Linked DNA regions of Caenorhabditis elegans. The protein of the gene in region 3 purifies or fractionates together with the protein of the main gene of each other region. This does not show direct contact. Each region holds a gene or a part of one and is shown on either strand. Other genes may lie near its edges.

Region 1 (3,969 bases), on a different chromosome or scaffold from region 3:
CGTCGTTTGGGAATCAACACACAGAACGCAGCCACTCGCCGCAACTGGATAATTGCGCGAGTTGTTCGTTCTGACAGTTGCTCTATCAAGAAGCCAGTTAACCGGTATGCTCTGATCATTTCTTTTTCTAATTCATATTTATAATTTATTCCAGGTACAACTTGCCAATTGGCACTATCGTCCGTCGCGTTGAGGTGGAAGCTGTGAATATGGATTTTGAAGGGGACTTCAATCATATTTCTATTGCCTGATCCTTTAGCGTTCATTAAAAATTCTGGTCCAAAAATTGTAAATGTCATGTCCCTCTTTTTTTTGTTTCTGAAAAATGTAAATTCCTTTCATAACGTAAGCTTTATACGTTCATGTCCCCTTTACCTCTTTTGTTCTCCCAACTCGTCAGTCTTTTGGGCCCGTCAAAATCTTTTGGTCTTACTGGTACTGTATAGGTATATATTTAATTGTTCATTTTTGAAATGCTGCTTCGTGGTCCAAATAACCTGATACCTTGATATGGATATTTGAAATGAATGTTGCAAATTTAGAATAATTGAAAACCAACAACTATTATTTTTGTTTCAAAGTAAACTATTAATTTCACTGTATTGAATTTCTGTTTGTATATGAACACAATACAAATGCGATAATTTCAGAATTTAAATGAATAAAAAAAGTAAAATCAGAGGAAAAATGGTATCAAAGTCGGAAAACGCACTGATTTTTTATCAAAAAAATATCCTTATAGAAAAATGGAACAATTAAAATTGGTTTTTCCTGTTGTCTCACTTTTGAGTATATTTTCTAACGTTTTTCAAGTAAAACGGATTCAAATTAGAGTTAAAATCACAAAATTCATTTTCAGTGCGATTAAAATCCTGAATCGTTGTTGCGCAGTGTTTTGTTACCCATCCTACACTCTCCCTTTTTTGCCCGCACTCTCTCCACGCGCCTTTTCTTCAAAAATATTGCGCGTCAAATCTGTTATGTGATCTGCATTATGCGCAAACTGTGCAATCACTGCAAGAAAGAGGAAACCGGGAACATTTTTTTGAACGCGGGAACGGAACGGGGCGTGGCTTCCTTGGTCAGTATAAAAGGGAAGAAATCTGGGGCAACTGACATTGTTTTCCATTTTTCCTGCTTATTTTTTCCTTTTTTACGTTGCCGTGACCTCTCTCTCTCTCGCCTATCCTCTCCTTGGCACTCACTTTCCCGGTGCTCATGAATCAAATCATGTTCAAATTAGCTGGTAAAAATGCTGCTTGAAAATAAAATAAAACTAACAGTTCTAGAATGTAGATTGATATCTTACCCTTATCAGTAGACGTTTATAAAATGCGCTTAATTTCGCCTACTACAAACGCACCTCCTAAGTAACACTTTTGAAACACTGAAAATGATACAAATTTCCATTTAAAATTTCGTTATCTCCGAAATACGTCCACGGTGCATGCTTCGAACAATAAAATGTCATCATTTTTTGACCCACAGATTCTCTCTCATTCTCCCCTAACCTCCTGCGTATCATTTATATTTTGCTGGCAAACTATTGCATTTCGGGAACAAGATACACCATTGGTCTCTCTCAAACTGATTCCTACCGACAGCTGCTATCGCTTGATAAAGATGATTTTTTTTGAATATAAATACCGTGAGGCATAAGGTAGATTAAATCAGCGCCCTCAACCCTTTTTTGGAAATAACTTGAATAGTGTCAAGGTTTGTAAGATTTTCATCAGCCCTCCCTCCCCTCTTAGCATTCTCTATTTCTATTTCCGTCTGATCAAATATAGCACAATCGTCTGTTAGTTATCAAACTTTGGACAATTTTATTTGCCGATTTTCTTTTACTCTATACTTTATCACCTCGTTTTGTTCTCAAAAATTTCACATTTCTATTTTTTCAATTTTAGAATCTCCTCAACACTCGGTCCATCACCATGTCTTCCGCAACTGCTTCCATCAAGCTTTCCAACGGAGTTGAGATGCCGGTCATCGGTCTCGGAACCTGGCAGTCAAGCCCCGCCGAAGTCATCACCGCCGTGAAGACCGCCGTCAAAGCTGGCTACCGTCTCATCGATACCGCATCCGTATACCAAAACGAGGAAGCCATCGGAACTGCTATCAAGGAGCTTCTCGAGGAGGGAGTTGTCAAACGTGAGGAGCTGTTCATCACTACTAAGGTTTGCAAAAATAGCATCTTTATATTATTTTATACAAATCCGGTTTTACAGGCTTGGACTCACGAGTTGGCTCCGGGAAAACTGGAGGGTGGACTTCGCGAGTCCCTCAAGAAGCTTCAACTGGAGTACGTCGACTTGTACCTTGCTCACATGCCAGCTGCATTCAACGATGACATGAGCGAGCACATCGCTTCGCCAGTGGAGGACGTCTGGCGTCAGTTTGATGCAGTCTACAAGGCCGGACTTGCCAAGGCTGTCGGTGTCTCCAACTGGAACAACGATCAGATTTCTCGTGCTCTTGCTCTTGGATTGACACCAGTTCACAACTCCCAAGTCGAGCTTCATCTCTACTTCCCACAGCACGACCACGTCGATTTCTGCAAGAAGCACAATATCTCGGTCACTTCCTACGCCACTTTGGGAAGCCCAGGACGTGTCAACTTCACTCTTCCAACTGGACAGTAAGTTTAACAAGTAGCTTGTTCCTTTTCTCAACACCTATTTGCAGGAAATTGGACTGGGCTCCAGCTCCATCCGACCTTCAAGACCAAAATGTGTTGGCTTTGGCTGAGAAAACCCACAAGACTCCAGCCCAGGTGCTCCTCCGCTACGCTCTTGATCGTGGATGCGCAATCCTTCCAAAGTCGATCCAAGAAAATCGCATCAAGGAGAACTTCGAGGTGTTCGACTTCTCTCTCACTGAAGAGGACATTGCCAAGCTCGAGGAGAGCAAGAACTCGCAGCGTCTCTTTCTTCAAGATTTGTAAGTTTATAGGACAAAATGACTGAAACTTTAGTAACCCAACTCTTTTTCAGTATGACCGGACACCCCGAGGATGCCTTTGCTGCTGAGCGCAAGTAGATCACCGTCATCCACAACTGGTTCTTCGTTCATCATTTCAAAGTTCAATTTCCCATTCACATTCGTCACACGTTCTCTTTCCTTTTTGGCATGTATTTCTCAGCATGATTGCTTTATTTCAAAAATAAATACGTTGATCTAAATTTTGAACCCCAAAAAACATCACATAAGTCTGTCATCATCTTTGCCAGCCTGTCAGCCCTACCTTCCTTTTTTCCAGTCGAAAAAAAAACTCGAGTCTCCTACTCTGTGAGATAGTTTGGAAATCCCTAGCTCATCTGCGAGGTTTGGACAGAATTTTTCACAATTTGTGGCTCTTCGCTGTAGAGAATTATGCACAGCTACTTTGATGAGATGCATCCAATAGAGCCTGCAGTCGTTCAACATTATAAGAGCCACCAATTTTCAATTGTGGCGTCACCATATTTTGTCTAATTAAAGACGGCCCTGATTGTGAGACATATTCTGAGTTGTACCGTTTCCCTTCAAAAATAAGAATAAGCAATCAATTTGTTTGGCAAACTCATACTATTCGAGGGCTAATCGTAATATTCATTCGAATTTCTCAAGTTTAAGTTCTTAGAAGGTAAAAAACATAGCGATGAAATATTTTTACAACGCACAAACTTGTTTTCTTCTCAAAATTCTCATATTTTGAAATTTCCATGTAAGTTCTGGTAACTTGAACTTTTTCAATTATGAACCAATGATAAACACTGCAAAGTTTTTTTACGTCCATACAGTTCTAGGGCGGTGTGTGTTGTCATATGTTACATGCTTGATAAGAAATTAATTTGTCAGCAAATCATCAAAACCTAGCTTCATTTTCGTGCCTATAAATGTTTACCGTATACGTATGCTCTATTGGTAACATTAATTTCCAGACACCTTTTCGGCGTAAAACTATTAGAGACTGCAAGATTAATT
Region 2 (7,033 bases), on a different chromosome or scaffold from region 3:
TGGCTTATAGTTTTGATTATCAATTTTGACGTTTTACTAACAAACTTCTCAAGAATTAACATTAGAAACAAATACTCAAACAGCCAGAAGGTTGTGAATGAATTGTTGGTGGGGGCAAAAACCAAGATGAGACAAGCTCCTCCTCTAGTGTTTTCTACATCCTAATGTAAATTGGATTTGGCACCGTAAATTAGCTTCACGTGACTTGACGTAGGCAGTTGTATTAATTGGTCGGCACTCTGAATTAAAACGTTTACCTTTGATGTCCTAAAAAATAATAAAAAAGAACAAAAAGAAAAGTTGAGAGAATAAAGTGAATAGATGGAATGTAGAAGAAAAGTTATGAGGATTTGGTTGGCATACGAATGGTGATGGGCTTCTGCTGGTCGCCTAACCTTTTTATTATGTCTTGCCGCACCAACGCTTATTGAAACACACAAAGATGGACGAAGGGGACAAACCAAGGATGTTACTTGTGATTTTGAAAATCAAGTTTGTTGAAAAGGAGCTCAAAAGTAAACACTCCTTATTCAGAAATTTAGCTTTACCGATTTTCTATGCATTTATTTATCCTAGGTACTTATTTTATCCATGCATTTTTATCTTTGCAAAACTTTAAAAACAATTTTGCAAATGTTAACTATCTCAAAATCACATTAAAATGAAATGTGTAATGAATTACAAGACAACTGAATCTGTTTCAAGCAATTGTTTTCCAATTTGTGTGTTATGTAACATAAAGTGTTCCAAAAGCAAACATAGAATTTTAGAGTCAGAAATGTCCACATTTTACATGGGAACAAACTCTTCTAATTTTATACATTTTAGGCTCGTACCTTTACAATACTTTCTTTTGAAATTTTGAAAATATTTCCTACTATTTCAATGACGGTCTTCATTTTAACGTTTTTGAGGACATGCCCAAAATATCATCTAGTGCAAAATGTTTATTCCTTAATGATAATGAAACCATTAAATTTTCTTCCTCTTTCAAAGTATTTCACAGGGATTTATTTTTTGATGACGACGGAACAGTGAAATCAGAGTTATTTCGTTGGGGAGTGAGAGAGAAACCGGTGCAAATAAAGAAAACCTGGGTGCTAACATAAGGGGAAATATGAATGAATTAACACAAAGTTTTAAATTAGATTTGAAGGTGAGAATGTAAAGGACCACAAAGCTCAAAAATTGATGTTGATGATGACATGAATGAGAAAAACAGGTTCAGGCAATGAGCAAGAAGGAAAGCGTGAATATATAATTTTCAGAAACAGAAACAAATAAACCGTTGAAATAAAATTAAAGATTAAAGTCTGTATTGAACGAAATGATCAAGAGATTCTGGATTGCGAATCGAAGACGCTTTCTGGACGGCCTTTCCACTCACAATTTGCTTAACGGCAACTTCCACTTTCTTTCCGCTTGAAGTATACTGAAAAAACAAAGTTTTTACAAATATCTCAATCGTAAATAGCTACCGGAATATCATCAACTGCGTAAATTTTGTTTGGAACATGTCGCGGGGACATGTCGTTCCGGAGTTTAGAAACAATGGCTGCCTGGATACTGTGTGTGAGCTCTTGACCCGGAACCATTTTCACAAACAGCAAAACTTCCTCGTCCATGCCCTCTTCGCTGGAAAAAAAATGTTCTTATGTTTGTTCTGCCATACTAGAGAATAAAAAATATAAGTTAATTTATCAACGACCTGTTTATTTCTATTTGCAGAATAGAGAAAAGTAATTAAAACTAGCTTAATATAAAGAAGAGAATGAGTAAGTGACATACCTATTAGCAAAATAAAAACTCTAAATATGCATAATGATCAACTTACACAAGTCTTCCAGCTACAATGCAATCAGCAATATGTGGAATTTTTTCAACAACCGAATAAATCTCAGCTGTTCCAATTCGAACTCCGCCGCGATTCAATGTAGCATCACTTCTTCCGAGCATTTCTACACCGCCCGTAGAATGATTCACTCTCACAAAATCACCATGAGCCCAAAATGGTTCTAGGCGAGCAAAGTAGGCATCACGGTACTTCTTGCCATCCGTGTCATTCAAGAAATGTGATGGCATTGAGGGGAATGGGGTGACACACACTAACTCTCCTTGTTCGTCAGAGTTAATGATTTCTTCATCTGCAATTCGGATACTTTTTGGAGAAAAAAGTTGATCTATCTTTCTTCGCAACTTTTCGAAAAATGTTGAAAACTACTTTGAAAGTTATTTATAAACATTATAAAGTATGTATATTTGTTTGCAACACTGCTGTTGTTCGCCTGGGATATGGGCCTGTAATCCCTATTGTCATATGGACCTATTATTCTTATAAAGATCGAACACCTATTCAATCGCCAGGGTTCTGTGCAAAATTTTTAAAAAAAGTGGGCATTAAGAAGTTGCCGCGCTCGGCAATTTTTTCAATTTTTTGCACGTCTTACCGATTTCGGCATTTTTTTTTGATTTTGGAAAATACGATGGAAATACAATTATGCTATTTATTATTCATGGTTTTATTTTTAGAGTTTCAAGAATTTTTGAGATACATCGCAATTTGCCGAGGTCTGCCAATATTGAAAATTTTTCCAGTACCACTTTTTTCATCCCCAGTATTAAATGGTACAATTCTCGACATAACGTTCTAGCTTTTTCCGAATTGTTTTATACATTTCATTTTGCACGTACCCATGTAATTGAATGACTTAATATCCATTCCCAGGAACAAACACTGACACTCTCCTGGCGTGATTGACAATGACTTGATACCACCGACAAAGCATCCAATAATGTCAGTTCCTCCAGAAATCGACGCGATGAGAGCCTATAAAAAAACTTTGTGTTATATTTGGTTGCAAAAGAACAAGATAAGAACATACGCCTGGCGCAATATAAGTGTTGATATAAGCGAAGCACTCTTTCTTCAATGGCGAACCTGTCGAGTAGACTGTGTGTATTTTGGAAAGGTCGTACAATGTGTCTGAAAGTCGTTGATCATATTAACGGTGTTGAATGGAGGAAAATTATATGTATATACTTACTGAATGGAATTTGAAGTCGGAGGTATTCATCATAAAGCTTCGCACCCATTCCAATCATAGTCGATTGTGTCTTTGCAGCGATTTTCATGATAATATGGGTGTCAGGAGCCAATGGGCATTCATCGAATAATACAACAGATCCTTTGGAGTATAGGAACGAGATCATCCTGAAATGTTAAAAATTAAAGTTATATATTTTTGAAATTGTGAATAAGTACAATCTTAGCAATTTGCCGAAAACTCGTGATCAATTTCAGCAGCGCCAATCAAAAAAGTTGCAAAAGTGAACAAAGTTAAAGATGGAACATCCAAGCATTTGCACTAAGAACTACCAAAGGTTACTGAACGGTTGCAAAGTTGCGGCGAATTGCCAAAATGTTTTATTTCTTGAAAGCAACCTGTGAATATTTATTCGGAAATTATTTTTGTCTCTAGAAAAAATCAATATTTTAAAGCTTATCCAACAGTTCATTATTACATAAATACAAAAAAACATTTCAGGGGACAGTTTCTACGGTGTTCTAATATTATTTAAATTGTATTTTCTTGCTGATTAAAATACAATTTTAATTAAAACAAAATCTCACCAATTATACATCATCCATCCACATGTAGTGTAGAAAAACATACGATCGTGTTTCTTTGAATCTCCTTGCACCAAATGCTCCTCAATGTGCTTGAGCAAGGTTCCTCCGACCGTGTGAACCATTGCCTTTGGAATTCCCGTGGTTCCTGAGCTAAACATTACGAAGAGTGGATCGGAAAATGGTACCTAAAAATCCACATGCTTTGAATGTTTCAAATCTTAATCATACTGGAGTATATACAAATGGCAACACAACATCGGCAATGGGAGTCTTGAATTCTTCGAGTGATGAGAACTTGTCACTTTGATTGTACTTTGTTGCATCGAATTTTACAGATGTGAAGGTGTCGGATACAACGATTTTCTCGAGAGTTGGGAGCTCTGGAAGTTATACCATTGTTTTAAATTCTTATTTGACAAAAGTAACCAACCTTTTACAATTTCATTAATTTTATCGGTCTGATCAATGAGCTTCTTCTTGTAAGTCACATGATTCACTGTGAACAAAACCTTGGGGTGAACTTGTCTGAATCTGTCAAGAACACCAGCAGGTCCAAAATCAACAGACGCTGAGCACCAGGCAGCTCCGACAGCGGCTGTGGCAAAAACAGCCACCAGTGTGTCATATGTGTTTGGAACAAAGCCGCAAACAGTGTCTCCGGGTCCGATTCCATAGTTACGAAGAGATGTGGCAATGCGATAAACATCTTTGCGCAAGTTGTCGTAAGTATATTCTGTCACTGTTTCTTCGATACCTTGAATTTTGTTTGATAAATAAACGTTTGGAACATGAAACACTTACTGGCATTCAATACAGCAATATCGGTGGCGGTTCCTCTTTCGATGACATTTTCAGTATAGTTGAGAGTAGCACCATTGAACCATCTCGGTCTCTCGTTGATTTTCAAATTATGATCGATAACCTAAAAATACTTTGTTTGTTTCCGAGCTGTTACACATAAAAAATTAATGTTCCAGGAAGTGGAAACAAGTTTCCCAATACCATACCTGGTTGTAGTTTTGATGAAGCTTCACATCGGACAATTTGAGCAAATCCTCCCAGAAAATACCATAATTATCACAAGTGAATCGGTGAAATTCACGGTAGTCAGCTTAAAAATGTGGATGTTATGAATATTTTGCATTTTTCAAAATCTAGTTGCTCACAGTTTCAGTTAAATATTAAATAGCAGTTATTTGAGGTCGATTTTTCAAATTAATCAAGAGTTAAAATTGAAACCTATGATTTACTAAATAAAAAATTACCAAATTTCTTATTTGTTTTCTCTTCAAAATGATTTCTGAGTGACAATTCAAAAGTTTCCAAATTTTGTGGCGGCTTGTAATAAACTGGCTGAAGTTTCTGAACATGGCTTATTTCATTTCCATTCATTGATCCATTCGTCGTTCCATTTGTCGTTCCATTGGTGTGAGCACCATTTTCGTGCTTTTCGGTAGTTTTTCCGTTTGCAGACACTGCGGTCATTCTGAAAACAAAATGTAAAGTTCAAAGGTTTATCCACAGAAAAAAGCAACACGAAAAAAATCGAAAGGACACAAAACTAGCGATATCACCACTTCTAGGCGTATTTTTGTGAGGTTTATCACACGCTTATCATTATTTGCCAGGCCATTAACTGTGGTGTGATTGCCTACAATCACCAGATATTCAAAACCTTTTCAGTGAAGTTGTAGGAAAAATGAGAGACGAACATCATTGACTAGTGAGCACAACACATTGATCACTGTTCTATGCAAAACAATTAGCAAACGGTTCGTAGAAGGGGACTGCAATTTGGTTTAGTGTAAAACGTTCTACGTATCAACGTGATAAGAACAGTTGAGATATCTCTTGTTATCAGTGAAAATTTGGGACATCGGGACAAAGTAGGTACACAACAATTCGGAGACAAAATTTTCAATGTCAAATGTTGCGTGAGAGATCTCTAATCAAAGAAGATAACATGGCGCTGTAGGACACCGGTGTAATAAAATTGCAAGCCCGCACGTGTTGGATTAAGTTGATTTGATTTTGATTTAACGGCCGGCAAAAAAAGTGTGAAAGATTAAAAAATTATGACGTTTCATTTTTGTTACATCATGCACTTTGCGAATGGAATATGAAAAGAATATATGCGGCGTGACAAAATAGTTTGAAGAAAAACCTATATTATCCTTTTTAACATTACTCTAAAAAGTCTACTGTAAAAGTAGCCATTGACACGTTAGATTCAAAGTTTAGATAATTTCAGACGATAAAAACATGTTTTTGTTGCGTCTTCAATTTCAATTGCCCCCATCTCAATTCCGATACTATTTCAAGTTTTTTTTTTATTTCGATCGTTATACTGTTTTCCAATTGAAGAACAGCGCTCTTTAAAAAAAATAAATGCGCAAAAAAAGAAGAGAAAATAAAAAAGAAATTGAAACTTTGCAAAAAACTTTTAAAACAGATAGAGACAAAGATAGACCGAGACACAGGCATTGAAAGAAATACACAGAGAGCCGACGAGGGACTACACTCTCCACTGCAACGTATGTTTACCGCCTGCGCGTCCGTCGGTCAGCACAGTCTCTGGCCTCCACACTGCACACGTCCACTGAAAAGTGAGATCAACACAAGGGACAAGGAGAAAAAAGGTTTTTTCTATATTTTTCTTTTCCAATAGTCTGCGTTTGTGTGTGTGTTTCGTTGAAAAGGAGCGATGGATAGAAGAAGAGCGTGCCATCACGGAATGGCCTTTGCATTTTCCGATAGCTATTGTTTGATGGTCAAAATGATTTCCAACATTTACAGTTTAAATGTGTAGTTTATAGTTTTTATGAGTGGTTTTATTTCTGGTAAAACTGAAAAAACTTACTAGGGAATGACCAGAATAAGTGGAGCGATATTCAAAAAAAAAATATTGTATCGGAAAGCTGACATTCTCTACTATAAGAATATGACTGAAATTTTGGCCCATTCGGGCTGGAAATCTGAAATTTTTACGTCTGAAATTCTACGTTAACTCTTTTCACTATCCCCAATTAGTACTGCCTGCAACAGCGAGATGGCCGAGTGGATAGAGTGGATGACAAGCATGGTGGGACTCTGGGGTTCAATTCCACCCTAACGTAAAATTTTTCAAAAATTTAAACGTGTTTTTTCGAAACTATATAAAAGCCCAAATTTAATTTTTCTGATCGATATCAGCATGATCAATGTGTCGACCAACACCATAATGATTCATTCAACATCTTTTCCCCTAAAATTTAAACTTTTTTCTCAAAATTGTAACTACAACCATGGATCCCCTCATATAAACAATTTCCATTCAGATTTCCAGCCCGAATGGGCAAAAATTTCAGTCATATTCTTATAGTAGAGAATGTCAGCTTTCCGATACAATTTTTTTTTTTTGAA
Region 3 (4,070 bases):
GAAACACCGAAAAAAGTTTTTGGCAGCTATAAATATTTGATGGCTGCTTTTTCCGTTGTCGGAATTTTTTTCTCGTTTTGTGATTTTTATATGAAACCGGTAACCCATCTACATAATTTTTAAAAATTTAGCCCAAAAGTAAATGATTCAAAATTTCAGCATCTTCATATAACCAAGACATCGTTTATTGTATTTACTGATTTGAAACTTTTGGGATATTCGTATTTCACTGGACAGTTAGCGTTGGGTAGGTACCGACACAAGTCGGAAATGTAGTCATGTAGGTAGACAAGCACGTAAGTAGGCAGACAGGCACATAGGCAGGTGGTAGGGTTGGCAAGCAGATAGGCGTGGCACAGCTGCTTCTCGTTAGTCATGTACGTAGGAAAACAGACACATGAACATGTAGCTATGTAGATTAGCAGGAAAGCAGGTAAGCGAGAGTTTGGCAGTTTGGCACGAGTTTGGCAAGAGTTTGGCACGAGAGTTTGTATGTAGGCAAGTACGTAGGCATGCTTGTCTACGTGTAGGTATGAAAGCAAGTAATCAGGTAGGCATGAGTGACTCAAACATGAAGCTAGCTTAACAGGTAAGCAGAGGTATTTATCTGACACATAAAATGTAGGCAGAGGTAATCAGCCCAAGCCACAACAGGTAAGACGAAGTAGGTAATTAGGTAAGCAAGTAGGCAAATGTTTTGTGATTGGAATTTTTAGTATGTATTAAAAAGTATTGGAAATATAGTTTTCCAGCAACACTATGCTCAACATACGGAATGATGATAACCATGCTTGCAATGCATTTTTATTATCGATATCTTTCGGTTACATCTTCACTTTATCGATTTTTCTTCAAAAACCTTACTATTTGGGTCATCTTTCTTACTTGTAATTCTGCTATTTGGTTCTTCTGCTTTCTCGTATTGAACTCTCCGTCTCCAATGAAAGATGAAGAGCTTTTTCCTGAATTTTGGGAATCTTACTGCCTGAAACCAAATGAATATACCTACACAGGACCTCACTACTACTACACAGACAATTCAACTGGAGAATGGAAATTTCATATTCCGTCATTTGTGGCTGAGGGCTATACAGCTGGCAATATTGCTGTGGCATTTGTTTTTCTTACATATTTTGGCTTTCAAACTTACAATCATCTTAATAAACTAGAAGTTGTGGCGAGCGTAAACTTCCGGGAGCTCCAAAATCAATTGTTCAGAACTTTGGTGGTCCAGACTATATTCCCAACAATCTTTTTATTTTTTCCAGTATCATGTTTAGTTGTGTTCCCAGTTTTTGGGGTCAGAATTGGAGAGCATGCAAATTTAATCATGATTTTATTTTCTATATATCCATGCTTCGAACCGATTGTAGCAATGTGTTGTATCAAATGCTTCAGAGTACGGATAACGAGTAAGTGTATTTGTAAAGGTTTTCTTTAACTGCGGCTTTGCAGGTTGGATATCATACTTCATAAAACCAGCTCAGCCATCACTGTATGTAAACACGACTATTTCTTGATTTGTATTTTTTTTGCACTTTTTTATGTTCTCAAGTTATAAAGTTAATTTACATCAATTTACAAACATTTTTTTAAAACTCGAATTGCTACAAGTTCAAAAAAAAACCGATACATTCAAATAAATATATGTACAACGATGCGTGTCAAACTAGACACTTCCCAAGTCGAGGGGTAACCCAAACAGCTGTAGAATATATGTTGAGAATGAGAGAAGGAAGTGCGCTCTATTGAGAAATTTGAATTGAAATTGTTTTTTTACTCTGTTTCTTCTTAATATTTTGGTTAATTTTTAAGACAAAATGAATAATCCTACCAAAAATTTTCCAATGAGATTTTGAAATATTGCGAAATAGTCTCTGAACTTTTGGTTTGTTTGCGAATGGTGGTAAATATTAGATAAGGAAACCTCCTTTTTATGTGAAAATGTTGATGCCCTATTGATTTTATATTCTTTTTTTTCGTTTGTGCGGAATTTTTTAAACTTTTTTTTTACAATTTTGTTTTAAAAACTCTGTTTATAAGTACTGGACGTTCTCTGGCTAAAAATGTTTAAAAGTATGAGTATTTTTCAATTTTTTTGTTTAATTTTTCGGGTTTTTGTTTTCTTTTAGTGCAAAAATTGAATTAGTTTTCAGATAATTTTTTCGAATTTTTTTGAAAAATGAGGAAATTTTTCAGCCAAATTTGTTCCTATTTCCCATTTTCCTAATTTTTTTATAGCGATTTCCAAAAATACTTATATTCTTAAATTTTACTGATTCAAATTTTTTCAAACATCAAAAACAATAATTTTCAAAAATATAACGGTTAACTCTATGCACTCTGATTTGAGACCCCGGCTAAGCTCTGGTTTATTTTGCGCAACCCCGTGATACTCAATCTGTAATTTTATGTTTCAGACTATTTACAGAAAATTGACAAATGCATCTAAAATTGAATATATCAAATGTTCAATCGAATTTAACATACAATGACATCGAAACAGAGTACCAGCCTATCGATAATGGGAGCATTGTTACATGTGGGAAAGATTCTACAATAATAAAAGACAAAAGTCATGCAGAATTATCAATTAATGAATTTGCTGAGAAAATTCAAGATTCCACAGTCAAGCTGGAATCAGTGGAGATAAATATTTGCAACAACGTCAAAAAGCAAAATCGAAGGGACATTTTTAACTCTCTACTGAAAGTTTTTCAAGCAAAGAGCTCAAAGTTGCACGTGTCAAAATGCATACTGGGTGACTTGTTCGCACAAGAAATTCTATTGCTTCTCCCATTTTTTCAAGCTGGAGAGTTCGAAACTATTGAATTGTCAAACAACGAATCAATGGTTGGTCAGTTGAATGAAATTTCCAAGTTGGAGCAATGGAAGAAGGCCAAGATTTTGAACGCAGCTAACGGGAAATTTGAAATCCCAATTGAAAACTTGTTCCACTTCGAGAAGTTCACAATCAGCTTGACGTCTTTTTCAAAGGAGGATTCAAAGAAAATTAAAGACGTGAGTTGTTTAGTGAAGTTTCAGTGGCTCAAAGTTGATCCAGAATTACCTAACTTTGATTTTCAGAGACTCTACGAAATGGAACATTTTGGAGATGGATGCTTCATTTTTCCAAAGACCAACATTATCGAGATTGCGAGAGTCTTTGATTCAAATTTTTATCTCGGGGAAAGTGCATTGTTTGATTGTGAAGTCAATTATAAATGCTTCATTGTTGAAATTACAGAGAGGTTTTTCAAAATTCGAAAGGGCTAACAATTTTTATTTTTATTTTGTTCCATTGATTATTGCCATTTTTTTATGTCGGAATTTCATTTAGTTTCTTTTTTGATAAATTATATAGGTAATTGGTAACTTGATTCATTCCATCTGTATGTATTCCAATTGTATTGTCTCATTTTCCATTGTGAATAAAAAAGTTATAATAATAACAAATTTAAACAACGAAAACCTGCTCGTTCATAATAACTGGACGCACAAGTTGGCAGAATACCCACATCGATTCATGTCTACAGGCACTCGAGGGACTTGCAGATGTGTCTATAATTTATTCAAAACATTTTTTTTCATTCCGTTAACCTCGATTGTTTCAATAATGTGCTCAACTATATTCATGAAATGGACAATTCAATTGGCATATTACATTGAAACAATCGGCTTTGTGACTTCAACTTTTTTAAACTCGATTCTCTTATTCCTAATCAGTAAAATGTCAAAACAAACGTTCGGAAACTATAACTATCTTATGTTTTCATTTTCATCATTTTCAATAGTATATTCATTTGTAAACTTTTGGAGCAAACCGGTAGATTTTTTTTCAAATATGAAGAGTTATGACACATTATTTTCAGAATGTTCTTATTACCGACAAATCTTTTGCGATTTTTGTTGATTTGAAGGAGACTGGATTCACCAAACAATTCGGAGCAATTGCGATTGGTACTAAGAACGCTGATTCTGAAATTTGTAAAATAATTTGCGATTTATTCAGGACTGTATTGTTCTTGCTACAACATCATGCTCCAGTTGATCACAATTCATTTTTACTA
Region 4 (3,547 bases), on a different chromosome or scaffold from region 3:
ATCGCTAATTTCATCCATAAGCTGTGCCTGTGTGGCCAACATCTGCTGAACTTGATTTTGCTGCTGCTGCTGACGTTGTTGCTGCATGGCGGCTATTTGGGTGTACACATCCCCGTTGAAATCCTGACTTCTAGGATAACTGGACGGCAGAGGTGCCGGTTGCATTTGTAGTGAAATCTGGGGAACTGAGGGGTCGCTGAATGGAGAAAGAGGTGCGTCTTGTCCGCGAGAAGGGCGTGCGGAGGCTGAAAGCATCACGTCGTCCGGCAGCATTTGGCTTCGCCGACGACAGGATATGCAGACGAAATTGTTCAGGCTTGAGACGTCGGAAGAGTCGCAGGAGAGATGGTAGCTTCTGGAAAGCAAAAAAAATGTATTTTAATCCGGTGAAAAACAATTGAAAATTCAAAATCTCACTTCCGACAAGTTGTGCACTGCCTCGAATCTGCAGTTATCATTCTTTGGCACGATCCACAGCTGGACGACATGTCACACTGCAAATTTTCTGATTTTAGAAAAAAAAATAGTGGAAAATCGAAAATTTCCTACCTGACGGGCCATATCCAACGACATCGTGCCAGAACGGTTAACATCCATGCAGTTTTCACATAGTTCCGTGTTGTTGAACGCGGTACCGCCACATTCGATGCACTGGAATTTTAATTTTGATGTATAGTTAAAATTTTGAACGGTGAACACTTACAATCATCTTTTGGACTTCATATAGTCGGCTTTCTCGATTTTTGAAGCTTCAATCGATACGAATTTGACTCTAAAATAATTATTATGAGTTATTCCACTGAAAATGAGATAAAAATCGTTCAAACTGCCGCCCATTCTCCTCTAACGGCTGTTGAAAAGGGCGTATCGATTTGTTTGGCATCTTGCCAAGCGTTACATGTCTGCGTCTCTACGCGCTGCGTAGAGCCCCTTGCCATGTTAACGGGGCGGCTACGCATCTCTGCCGCACTGCGTCTCTCTGGCACTGTGCCAATACACCGAATGCCACGCGAGATTGCGGACTGAGAGTTGGAAAAAAATTAAATAAATAATTTGATTTGCAAATATGTATTTTCGAGCTTTCGTGTGTGCGTTTTTAAAGACTTAAATGAATTTCAGAAGACGTCTCACTTGGGGAAGCTTTTCAAGCAATGGCCGATGAGATTTTTAAGGTTAGTGGGTACTTCAAAGCAATGGCATTTTAAATATATCGAATTTTACAGGCATTCATCGGTGGGCTCCCCTATGACTCCATCGCCACTGACATCGAAACTATATTAAAGCACTGCAAGTTCACAGATGAAGAGGTACTGCGGAAAAGCAGGAAATTTCTAATAAATGTTTTTTCAGCTCAAAAAGTTCGATATTCATCTTGTGCACGACAGAGATTCTGGAAGTTTCAAGGGATTCGCATATGTCACTTTTGAGAATGAACAACAGATGAATACTGCTATCAGTGGCCTTAATGGAGCCGATTTCGGAAATCGCGTACTCAAGGTTAATCGTGCCCAACAGCGCGATCGCAGTGACCGCGGAGGTGGTCGTGGAGGTATTTCAGTTATTATTTTATTTTTCTCCGCTCATTTTAACAATAATTTTGCTCAGGACGCGGAGGAAACTTCGGAGATCGCGGAGGACGTGGTCGTGGAGCAGGAGGCTTCCGGCGTGGCGGTGAAGGTGGCCGCTTCAACGAAGGAGAGCGTCGTGGCGGATTTGGCGGCGGAGGACATCGCGGTGGATACCGACAACGTCGCGAGAGCGAAGAACAACACAAAGCCGAGGAAACTTCAGATCCATCAGCTCCGCCAGCAGAACGTCCACGTCTCAACCTGAAGCCCCGTACCACAGATGCCGCTGAGATCGAGGCTCGCAAGAAGCAAGAAGAAGAGGAGACCAAGAGACGCCAGGAGAAGCTTTTCCAATAAACTTTTTTTCGATTTTTCCCTGAATTTCGATCCGCGAATGACACGAAATCCTGCAATCATAGGAGCCTATCCCCTAATTTGTCCCCTCGTCACTTTCCGTCAAGTTCCGCTGGTATAACCATTTCTTCAACCCCTTCTGAATGTCTAATGATCACAAATTACCTCAGAATCCTTTCACATAAAAAGTTTGTTTGTTGTTAAACCCCAAAAAGTCCCAAAAGCATATATTTTCCCCCACCTACTTGTTGTTCTGTTGATTTTACTAGTTATTCCTTTATTTTTCTTTATAGAAATACACTAAAAACATGCGAAATATATGAATAATCAATAAAAAAATATTTTTATACTTTTTTTTTCAAAATCTGGTTTTTGTGTGGTTTTCTCCAATTTTCGTTTCTGCTCAATTTTCAGTTCCTAAATTAAATTTTAATCGACAGATGGCATCACCAGTGGAAAGAGTCAATGCGCTACTCACAGAAGCCATCAAGCCGCAGATTTTGGTGAGTTTTATTGATGTTGTTCATTAAAAAAACCGAAAATTTCTTCCAGAAAGTCGTCGACGAGAGCGGAGGCTGCGATGGATACAAATTTCGGCTTCTCATCGTCTCTGAGGCGTTTGAGGGCAAGTGTACGCTGCAATCTCACCGGTAAGCCTGAAAATGCTGAAAGCTTAGGGTGGATCCACGTACGTGGAAATTAATTTAAACGGAAGAATTTAAAGGAAGTCACAGTCAAGCTGAGCTGGTTTTCCCAACGATTGCACTAAAGTAATGTAAATATAAACTTATTCCAATTTTACAGATTGGTCCAAGCTGCTCTTGCTCCAATCATGGACGAAACTCACGCGCTCACCATCTGCGCCTACACACCTGAAAGATGGTCCCAAATGACGACGGAAGACCGTCAAAATGCCGGTTGCCAGGATTTGGTGGACTAATTTGCTGTACTTTTTAAATGAATGATTCTATTTAATTATTCGCTTTGTTTTTGAATTAAAGTTGGTTATTTTTAATCGAAAAGGCCAGGTCATATTTCTTTGTTTCCGACTGAAATCAGTAGTTACACAAAGTTTCCAGATGATTATTGCATGGGCAGTCTCTTCATTCCAGGACCATCCAAAAAATGAAAATCAAGAAGAAGAACCCATCGATACGCTGCTTGAGGCGAAATTCGACGCGGCGACGACAAGGTTGCCGGGGTTTCTGACAAAAATCGATCAGAAAACTATATTAAAATTCTATGGACTCTACAAGCAGGCTGTAGAAGGTCCAGCAGGTATTTAAAATGGACGATTTTGAAGCTGAGAAACTAAAAGAACACAATTTCAGACTCGAAAAAAGGTCCCTACTGGTTCGAAACGGTCGCGCGCAAAAAGTTCAACTCGTGGCTAGCGAATAGTCAGATGAGCCGGTCGAGAGCTATGGAAGCGTATTGTGAGCTCATGGCTCAGCTTGACACGTCTTGGGATCCGGATGCAGAGACGGTGAAGAAAAGTGGACTGTGGGAGAAGATGCCCAGCACAATGGGTGTTATCGAGGTGAAAAGGATAAAAAATTATTAATCCCCACTTAATCATGCTTTTTTAAATGTATATTTTAAATTTTTTTATGTAGAATAGTACT

What was found.
Region 1: the proteins of F10A3.17 (region 3) and C07D8.6 fractionate together in Caenorhabditis elegans (co-fractionation; one large-scale study listed by BioGRID). This does not show direct contact.
Region 2: the proteins of F10A3.17 (region 3) and sur-5 fractionate together in Caenorhabditis elegans (co-fractionation; one large-scale study listed by BioGRID). This does not show direct contact.
Region 4: the proteins of F10A3.17 (region 3) and T12D8.10 fractionate together in Caenorhabditis elegans (co-fractionation; one large-scale study listed by BioGRID). This does not show direct contact.

What each region holds. Positions count from the first base shown.
Region 1 is NC_003284.9:7,339,599-7,343,567, forward strand, and holds C07D8.6 (NADP-dependent oxidoreductase domain-containing protein), read left to right. Parts: upstream 1-1,910; 5' UTR 1,911-1,937; coding exon 1,938-2,180; intron 2,181-2,231; coding exon 2,232-2,641; intron 2,642-2,688; coding exon 2,689-2,943; intron 2,944-2,996; coding exon 2,997-3,042; 3' UTR 3,043-3,182; downstream 3,183-3,969. Other genes in the region: epg-7 (Autophagy-related protein 11 C-terminal domain-containing protein), read left to right, coding at 1-104, 155-251.
Region 2 is NC_003284.9:7,300,454-7,307,486, forward strand, and holds sur-5 (Acetoacetyl-CoA synthetase), read right to left. Parts: upstream 5,118-7,033; 5' UTR 5,117-5,117; coding exon 4,897-5,116; intron 4,743-4,896; coding exon 4,639-4,742; intron 4,554-4,638; coding exon 4,433-4,553; intron 4,386-4,432; coding exon 4,062-4,385; intron 4,012-4,061; coding exon 3,860-4,011; intron 3,817-3,859; coding exon 3,632-3,816; intron 3,212-3,631; coding exon 3,045-3,211; intron 2,984-3,044; coding exon 2,883-2,983; intron 2,828-2,882; coding exon 2,692-2,827; intron 2,145-2,691; coding exon 1,835-2,144; intron 1,636-1,834; coding exon 1,479-1,635; intron 1,433-1,478; coding exon 1,307-1,432; 3' UTR 936-1,306; downstream 1-935. UniProt on the Caenorhabditis elegans protein: Activates acetoacetate to acetoacetyl-CoA. Negatively regulates let-60 Ras activity during vulval induction.
Region 3 is NC_003283.11:16,158,056-16,162,125, reverse strand, and holds F10A3.17 (DUF38 domain-containing protein), read left to right. Parts: upstream 1-2,431; 5' UTR 2,432-2,442; coding exon 2,443-3,021; intron 3,022-3,087; coding exon 3,088-3,276; 3' UTR 3,277-3,447; downstream 3,448-4,070. Other genes in the region: str-109 (Serpentine receptor class r-10), read left to right, coding at 1-99, 160-247, 753-1,441; str-99 (Serpentine receptor class r-10), read left to right, coding at 3,635-3,826, 3,873-3,960, 4,013-4,070.
Region 4 is NC_003281.10:13,641,143-13,644,689, reverse strand, and holds T12D8.10 (BolA family protein), read left to right. Parts: upstream 1-2,362; coding exon 2,363-2,425; intron 2,426-2,474; coding exon 2,475-2,572; intron 2,573-2,726; coding exon 2,727-2,862; 3' UTR 2,863-2,895; downstream 2,896-3,547. Other genes in the region: set-16 (PHD-type domain-containing protein), read right to left, coding at 1-355, 418-494, 550-651, 704-709; drr-2 (RRM domain-containing protein), read left to right, coding at 1,152-1,172, 1,224-1,307, 1,351-1,549, 1,606-1,925; acbp-5 (Acyl-CoA-binding domain-containing protein 6), read left to right, coding at 3,002-3,200, 3,254-3,462.